2 linked regions of the Oryzias latipes genome follow. The protein of the gene in region 1 purifies or fractionates together with the protein of each later gene. This does not show direct contact. Links are inferred from orthologs where the notes say so. Each region holds a gene or a part of one and is shown on either strand. Other genes may lie near its edges.

Evidence for each region.
Region 2: the proteins of snu13 (region 1) and fbl purify together in Homo sapiens (affinity purification with mass spectrometry; 5 studies listed by BioGRID and IntAct, with this or other methods). This does not show direct contact. The link is inferred for Oryzias latipes from reciprocal best matches to the Homo sapiens genes SNU13 and FBL.

What each region holds. Positions count from the first base shown.
Region 1 is NC_019877.2:3,754,665-3,758,806, reverse strand, and holds snu13 (NHP2-like protein 1), read left to right. Parts: upstream 1-1,588; 5' UTR 1,589-1,786; coding exon 1,787-1,789; intron 1,790-1,936; coding exon 1,937-2,057; intron 2,058-3,154; coding exon 3,155-3,417; 3' UTR 3,418-3,574; downstream 3,575-4,142.
Region 2 is NC_019874.2:7,462,227-7,466,582, reverse strand, and holds the end of fbl (rRNA 2'-O-methyltransferase fibrillarin), read right to left. Parts: intron 3,934-4,356; coding exon 3,839-3,933; intron 3,595-3,838; coding exon 3,424-3,594; intron 3,253-3,423; coding exon 3,120-3,252; intron 3,034-3,119; coding exon 2,921-3,033; intron 2,794-2,920; coding exon 2,648-2,793; intron 1,277-2,647; coding exon 1,252-1,276; 3' UTR 770-1,251; downstream 1-769.

The sequences.
Region 1 (4,142 bases):
TCTGGGTTTTTGGATGCGGGAGTCGGCTTCTCCGATACAGGCTTTTCCCGTGGCATTCTAGGAGCTCTTAATTATTATTGCTGTTGTTGTTTTTCTCACTTCGTTCTTGTCTCTTTACAGTGGTAAGACTTGAGAGTAATACAAAAAAAAGCAAAACTAGTTCAGCAGTTTGAAAATGAGGTCAAAAGGGATATTTTGGGACCGGACCGTAGCAGCTCACAAAAAGTTGACCGCACGGACCGCCATCTTAGCTCCTCTAGCAATTTGGAGTTGGGTCTCCTAATTTAACAGCTGCAGGATTTAAGTTTTTAGGTTAGAGACGATAGTAAAAGCGGTCATGCTGGAGATACTAATTTAAAAACTAAGAACAGAGAATGACATTCAAATTTACTAATTTACGGGACATTTTGCTCGTGTAAATAGGTTTATTTTCTTAACAAAAATATCTAATTTTGCGATAATTGAACAATTTCACAATTTCATCACGAAACACATCACACAACAATGAAAGGATGTTTCCATTCAGGAGAAGAAGTATTTAAAATTCAAATTCAACTTTATTTATGGAGCATTTTTCTTGTTACAAACACTTCAGAGTGATTTACATTAAATAAATAAATTGTAAACAAGAATAATAGCCCACACACATATTCAAACATGTAAAAACTACTTAAGAGCAAAGTGGAAAAGATGAGTTTTGAGGGTTTTTTCCTAAAAAAAAAAAACTCCACTGTCTGCTTGTGGTTAAGATGTGTGCCGTTTAAAATCAATTGTATTTTTTCTTAGCACCAGAAAGAAGAGCGTTATAATAATAATGATGCTGGTATATGAAAAGTGCTTTAGTATTAAAGTTTTACTCTGTTATTTGAAAAATAAAATAAAAAGAAGTAACTTATTTTTTTCAGAGCAAACACAACATTATCTGGATTCTACATAAATTGTGCTCTCAATTTTTAATTTATTTAACATAGGGATATCATCTGCAAGCCGAGGTGGCTCTTATAATCTTTCATTGTGGCTCTTTGGTTTTGAAGAAAAAATGCTAATGATAATACTAACATAAATAATGGATTTGTGGTTTTGGTTCATTTCTTTTAGTTGACAGTTGTGTTTTATAATTTTTTAAATTTAGAAAACTGAGCAAAATGATGCACATAAAGCAACAGTCCTTATTTCTGTTGATCAACAATGACTAGATGCTATTCAGAAGCAAAATTAAAGTATAGAATTGCAAACAGATGTTCAGGTTAAAAAAAAGTGGATTTTGCCCCAATGTTGTCATGTTTATATTCAATAGTAAAATGAGAAAACGAATTATGGGTGCATCTGTCTAGCAGTTTTAACTCTATTTGTAAACTCGGAATCTGTTTATCTGCTACAACCGATCTGTGTAGGGGGTATTTTATTTTGAAAGGAACTGCAGCTGCTGTCACAAGTAAAATAAGTTGAAATTCTTGTAAACTAGAAAACTATCACTTTCATTTAACTCATCATCATATTTTAATTATTGTAAATATTTAAAAGCTAAAACTGGTTAAATAACAGTTCAATGGTTAAAAGTATGACCTCAAGAGGGCGAACCATTTTTCTTTTACTGATGTGCATATTGCGCATGTGCAGACCTACACACGTGGGGTAAACGTTTGCACGAGCTGCAGCCTTTGGAAGGTTTTGAGACGCAATTTACCACTTTTGGCGTTCGCTATACTTATTTCGATCCCGTTAAAGGAATTAGTCCTCCGTGAAGCATTTCGCCGAGAGGGCCGGAATATCAAAGAAAATCAAAATGGTGAGTGTAGTTTGTCTTGAGCTAGCAAGCTAACGAAAGCCGCTAGCTATTAGCATCTGATAACAGCACGCGGGGTGCTGTAATCTGGCTATTCTAAATTTAAAGTAATTATTGTGTTTCATTATTATTATTATTTTTTGTCAACAGTCAGAACCTGAGGTTAACCCAAAGGCTTACCCGCTGGCCGACGCCACGTTGACCAAAACTATTTTGGATTTGGTGCAGCAAGCCTCCAACTACAAGCAGCTGAGGAAGGGGGCCAACGAAGGTAAGGGAATTAAAGGAGAAATATTTAGCTGATCGGTGTAATATTCTTGGGATTTATCGCAGTCTTTATCTGTATTAACGACAAAATTCGTGAAACATCATGATGAAACGAAATAAAATAAAGCGCTTAGTAGGCTTGATTCTCTCACTTCCGGTAAAAATCACCCAATATTTAAAGCCTATGATTAATGTACCTAAACCAGAAAGAGTAGATAGCGTGAAAGAGTTGAAGAAGAATCTGGTGTTTCAGCAGACATTTTTCACCAGAGCAAAAATCCTGAGGAGGCTTCTTACCTGTGAAAGCAACTTTTATTTTGGCAGGTTGACCCTCTTCACTCTAACCTCCAATGTGTTTCTAAAAAAAACCCATAAAGTCTGCTGTAAATTCAAAACAGCCCTCTAAGCTGGAGAATGCAGGGCTGCATCTCTGCTAAAACACTGATTCTAAAGTAAAATGAGTTAAATGACATTTTTTATAGCAAATTTCCATTTCTGTTTAGCTTTAAACTCCTTTTATTCATAACTGCTGTTCACAGCTGAAAACAAGTATAAAATATTTAATAAACTATTCAATAAAAAAACTGTTTTTGCACAAATATTTTTCAATAAGTCAAATGTTTAAGTGGAAATTAATCCATAGATGAATTGTTGTCACTTTTTTCCAATTGAAACAGAATTTCATTCGTATTTCTTTAATTCTTTCTACAAAATCGATCAGTAGGAGATATTAAGGTTGCATAACTGTGTTAAACAGGACTTTCTGGTTTAAAAAAAGCTTCAAATAAATGCATTTTATTCATAAACAGTCAATTTAAAGCTGAGGTAATAAAAAAAATGAACAAGCCAAATATTTGTAGGATCTAGATGAATCCAAGCGATTCTAGATGCTGTCCAGATATTTGAAAAACGCCATTTTGTCTTCGTTTTGCTTCATAGTTAAGCATCCTGATATAAAAAAAAATGTTTGTATGTCATCTTATATTCTGACACTTTATATCATCAAACCTTCCAAGGGTTTGGAGTAATATTATTATTGTTAATATTGTTTACATTTTCCTGTGTTCTGACAGCGAGGCGACTCTGCTCTCTCCTCCACAGCGACCAAAACCCTGAACAGAGGCATCGCGGAGTTCATTGTGATGGCTGCTGACGCTGAGCCGCTGGAGATCATCCTCCACCTGCCGCTGCTCTGCGAGGACAAGAACGTCCCGTACGTGTTTGTGCGCTCCAAGCAGGCGCTGGGCCGGGCCTGCGGCGTGTCGCGTCCCGTCATCGCCACCTCCGTCACTATAAAGGAAGGATCCCAGCTCAAGCCGCAGATCCAGTCGGTCCAAATGGCAATCGAGAGACTGCTGGTGTGATCTCTGTGCTCATTTTCTGTTCTCATTTGAGTTTATTTACTTTAACAAAATACTTTTAGGTGTTTATTTTTTATTTTTTTGGTGATCATAGCAGCTTTGCTTCTATCAGTGTCCAAAACCAACATCATTTCCTAATAAACATTTTTTATTAATGTAATTCCTGTGTTTTATTTTTTTTCCCTTTAAGAAGTGTTTACTTTATGCAGAAGTAGTGGAGACCAAGGAGACTTTAAATGGAAGACAGAAAAACATCATAGAAATTAAACATTTTTTTCCAAGCATCTCATCCAGTTAGAAATGTAATTTAAAACAAGTGTCTGAAACTGAAGGACTCTAGAAGATACGTCTCTACAATGTACAAAGTTAAATGTTTACCAAATAAATGAGTATTAAAGAATTAATTCAAAGTGTAATCCAGTAGTGCTTTGCAATACATTGTTTTCATTTTAAAAACAGAATTTTGGGTCTAAACAATTTTTTTCTTACAATTTATTTAAAAAACATTTAGAACGTTTTACCTTTATCTCATTTCTGAAATTGTCAGAAATAAGGTTATTTTTTTACATAAACTTTGTTCAGTGAACAGAATTTCATCTTTCAACACAGTAAAACTAAAGATGCGATTAATAAAATTACTAAAATTAAAATAATTTTAAAATGAATACATATGCAATTTGTGGTTTTATTTTTGTAAATTCGTAAAGATTGTTTATAATAAGGCGACA
Region 2 (4,356 bases), on another chromosome or scaffold:
CGGACACGTCCGACCCTTCACGCTTCCGACGACTTCCCCCACAAAATGGCCGCCAAAACAAACAGCTCGCGGGTAAAGTTTAGTTTTTTAATAGGTAGCTTAATTTGGCAGGAGGTCACACGAGTTAACATTTGCGCGGTTTCGCAAACAGGCGACCCAGTTCGGGGGGGAAGTGCGCCCTCTGCTGGCGGCCAGAGAGTGCGGTTTCTCTGTGCTGCAGACCTGGCGGATGTCTGCCCCTGCCCCGCTAGAGCCCAGGTCAGGTTAGCCTGGACCAGCTGTACCAGGGTTAGGGATGGATCACATTGGCTCAAGCTAGGTTCTTTGAAGGTTAGCTGAACAATTTGAAACGGCAACAAACCCCACAGTAACAGGTTTGATCCACACTGTCGCTTCTCTGGGTTTGGCATTAGCCCACCTGAATCTGGTGCAAACCAAGGCCAGACCAGGCTCTGCTGGCATGCAGATGAACCAGAGGATGGCTGGCTTCCGCGTGCACACTGACGTCCCACAATGGAGAGAACCAAAAGCTGGATCCTAAAGCATCTGTAGGCCATCAGTAAGGAACAGTTGCAGAAGCTTAGACTGGCACCATGGGCTCCTTCTGACTAATAGGGATGCCTTCGTGTCTCGTCACTCAGCGACTGAAGCAGATGCTGGATGAAGTTCCAACAGCGTTGGGACAGATGGGAAGAGCTGAATGGGACATTGGTAAACATGTGGACACGGAGTTCTTGACATGTGCTCATTTCAAACAGTAACAGAGAAATTAGAAGTTTCTTCTTTATTTAAAAAAAAGGAGAAAAACGGCTGGGTTCAAATATATATTTTCTCATCAACCATGCAATCTGATGGACTGATAACCAAATGAAAGTGGTCTTCCTCTCACGCCTGGAGAGGCTCCTTAAACAGTTATAGGTTATTTCCATGGAGAGATCCACAAACATCCATGAAGGGATGAGCGAACATGTGAGTCGGACCACGCTTGTGACAACTGAACCTCAAAGCGTTAGCAGGTTTCTTAGACAGCAGTAGGCTGAAGTCGCAGCGAGTAACCACGAATGACACCTTTCCAGCCTCGTCTAGTCAGAGAACAGGGCTGCTTATTCCTTTGAGGAAGTTAGGGCAACCAGTCTTTAGTCAGAGGAGGGGGGGGGGGGCTCAGGACTTTACAAAAGCAAAAAAACACTGAAGAAGAAGGGAAGAAAAAAAAGGTAAAAACAGCCAGTGTCAAAGGTCTTCTCGTTCACCTCATTTCTTCTGCTTTGGTGGCGGTCTGGAATCAGAAAACAGAAAGACGTCACTTCTTTGACATTGAACCCAATTATCCAATTATCTGACGTCTAAAGATGTTGGATTTTTCATGAAACACAAACATCAGATCTCCTTTAGCCAATCACAGCAGTTCACAGTTCATGAGATACCAGATCATCCACAGAAAGCCAGAACATACCAGGATGTTTTCCCCTTTATCAGGTTTTGTTCTACATCAATGAGATGCAGTAAATGAAGTGAGGAGAGGATGTAACCATCATGTCCTCTTTGTGGAGTACAAATGTTAAATCTCTGCAGACATTTTACTCTAAGCGCTGCAGCGTTTATAAAAAACAGAAGTTTAAAGACGAACATGTGGGTCAAAGGCTTTTCTGATTGCACTTCCACGAGTTCTTTGCTTCTACTTTTTCTTTTCTTTCCCTGTATTTAGATGTTAACGGACACAACATTCCTTTGTTTACTGATAAAAGTTTACTGTAAATATTAAACGAAATGCCAAATAAAGAACATTCACTCTTCAAAGTGAATGTTTTTCGTTTGCAAAAAGGCTCCTTCGGTTAAACACAGTGATACTGAAACCAGCGCCCGTCTTCGTCTCTGCAGCATCACTGACGGTCAGAGATGACTTGTGCTATGTCCTCACCGGTCGTGTGAAGCGTGTTCAAGAACGCAACGGGCATTCTTGAACACGCTTTTAGCAGACGGTGTTGCCCATTATTGGCGCATTCACTCACAGTTGGACAAGTCTACGTGGGAAATGTGGAAACGGTGCTAATCGGGTAAATTTTGCTCCAGACTTTCTTTCGCAGCTCTATTCCAATATATGAAAGACTTTGTGTCATTGAATTCCGGCCGGACACTAAACCACAGTTATTTTCTCCTTCACGATCAATTTTTATACGATTGGCACTTCCGTGTTTTGAAAAGGACGCCATCCAGACGTCGCCATCAAAGAGTCCCCGATTAGTCAAAGTTCAACGGGTTTAAACTAGTGATGCGCGTTCAGTGGCCGTGCATTTTGTACACTGAGCCCAAAAACGGACTTCCAAAAAACAAGGAAGCCTTAAAAGCGCATTTACTTTTCAGTGGAAGCAGTTGCTTGAACATGCGTTTCTGAGCCCGGTGTGAACGTAGCTTCAGAGGCTGCATGTTGACAAGCCCCTGCTGTTCTAAATACAGACCAAAATGGCAAAATATGTCAAATTCCTGTTTGATTTTAGATCAAAGCGGTTTAAAAATGGAGCAGTGTTCTCTGGGTTTAGTAGCAGGACGTGCAGCAGCGCAGGCTGTAAGCATGTCTGATCCTCTGAAATGTGTTACCATCACCTGCTGGTACCCACTGACCCAAGCCGTCAAACGTTCCATACTTTACCTGTAGATGCCCACCACTACCGCATGGTCCCTCTCATAGGGCTCCAGGGTGAGCTGCTCCTGCGGTTTCATGTTCTCTGAGCTCATCTTCTTCACTTCTGACGCAAACACAGCCTCTGGAGCTGCTGTGGAGTCGATGCAGTTGGCCTGAATCAGGAGAGAACTATGATCAGAACCGAACAGATACACACAAAACACGGATTCCTTCTCAACACCACATCCTCTCCTCATCCCCAGGGTAGTGCGTCTCCAACGGAAATGTGAGCCGTCATACCTTAATGGAGATGACAAAGTGTCCACCATTCTTCAGGAAGTTGTGAGCATTAAGGGCCACGATTCTGGTCTGGTCAGGCTGAGCGACGTCAGCAAAGATCACGTCCACCATGCCTGCAGAGGAGCACAGCGCCAACGTGAGGCCGGGGAGGAGAAGCGCTCTGTCCGCACAGCCGCTGTGCTGAGGCACTGACACCTACCAACCAGCATGCGGTACTTGTGCGGATGGCGGGCGTCTTCGATGATGGGGATGATGTTGGTGCGTTTCTTAGCCACATTGAGGAGATCGCGGCCAGATCGGTGGGAGAATTCCACTGCATAGACCAGCCCCTCCTTAAAACAAAAACAAGATCCAACATGAGTCTAGAGGGGGCGGAGTCAGACGGTTTATTCTGACAAAATGTGTCAAAGCTGCATATTGATCAAACCACATATGGGTACTGACAGCAGTGACGCATTTTCACAACAGCAACAACAATGCGATTACTTCTGAAATGTACTTACTGGCCCAACGATGTCAGAGACGTGGGACACCGTGGTTCCCGATGCGGCTCCAAGGTACATGACCTTGGCTCCGGGTTTGATGTGAATCTGGTCAACTCCTCCAAGAATGGCAGCTGCTAGTTTGGAGCGGAAAGGATTCCAGGCTCTGTACTCAATCTTAGTATCACCCTCCTGATCAAAAACAGGAAATCCACAATCATCTTCCAGAAGAAAAATCCACCAAGTCCAGCTCTGCTGCAGAAGCCAGCCAAGAGTTTACGTCATCTAGCAGGAAAGGATCCAAACATTTTAAAAACAGGAGTTATGGTTTCAGTTTTTACACTTTGCTGTTGCAGGGACCAGAGGCTGAGGGTTAACCAACCCTTCAGCACTGGAGCTACAGGGACAACCTCACAATACAGAAGCGGCTCTTTACCTCCACGCTCATCCTCTTCTCCCCGTACACAGACTCTCCCACCACCATGTTTTTGGTGACGAGGGCATCCTCCTTCCCTCTGCAGATAAACACCCCTGGAAGAAACCACGACCCAGACCGTCAGACCCACATACATAACCTCCTTACATCTTCATTCTGAAACGCTCAAAGGGCCGTCCCACTTAACCTTTTAGAAAAATACACCTTTTTACACCCATTCCTTTGTAAGATTTACCTTTTAAATATTTCTAAAATCTTATATTTTTCTATAGATAACATCTGGAACTTCTTTACTCTTTACAGCAGCAGATCTGTGTTCCTTTCAAAATAAAGTGCACGCTGTGTCAAATAAGATCCTTCTGATGCAGCAGATTTACTTACAATAAAAATACACAAAAAACAGGTCAAACGTGACATTTTCTGTCATGACTTTGGTGCGCTTTCATCCTGTTTATTTCTTTTACTGTCAAAACTAAACATAGGTGTAGAAAACAATTTTTTAAATCCACTCGTGTAAA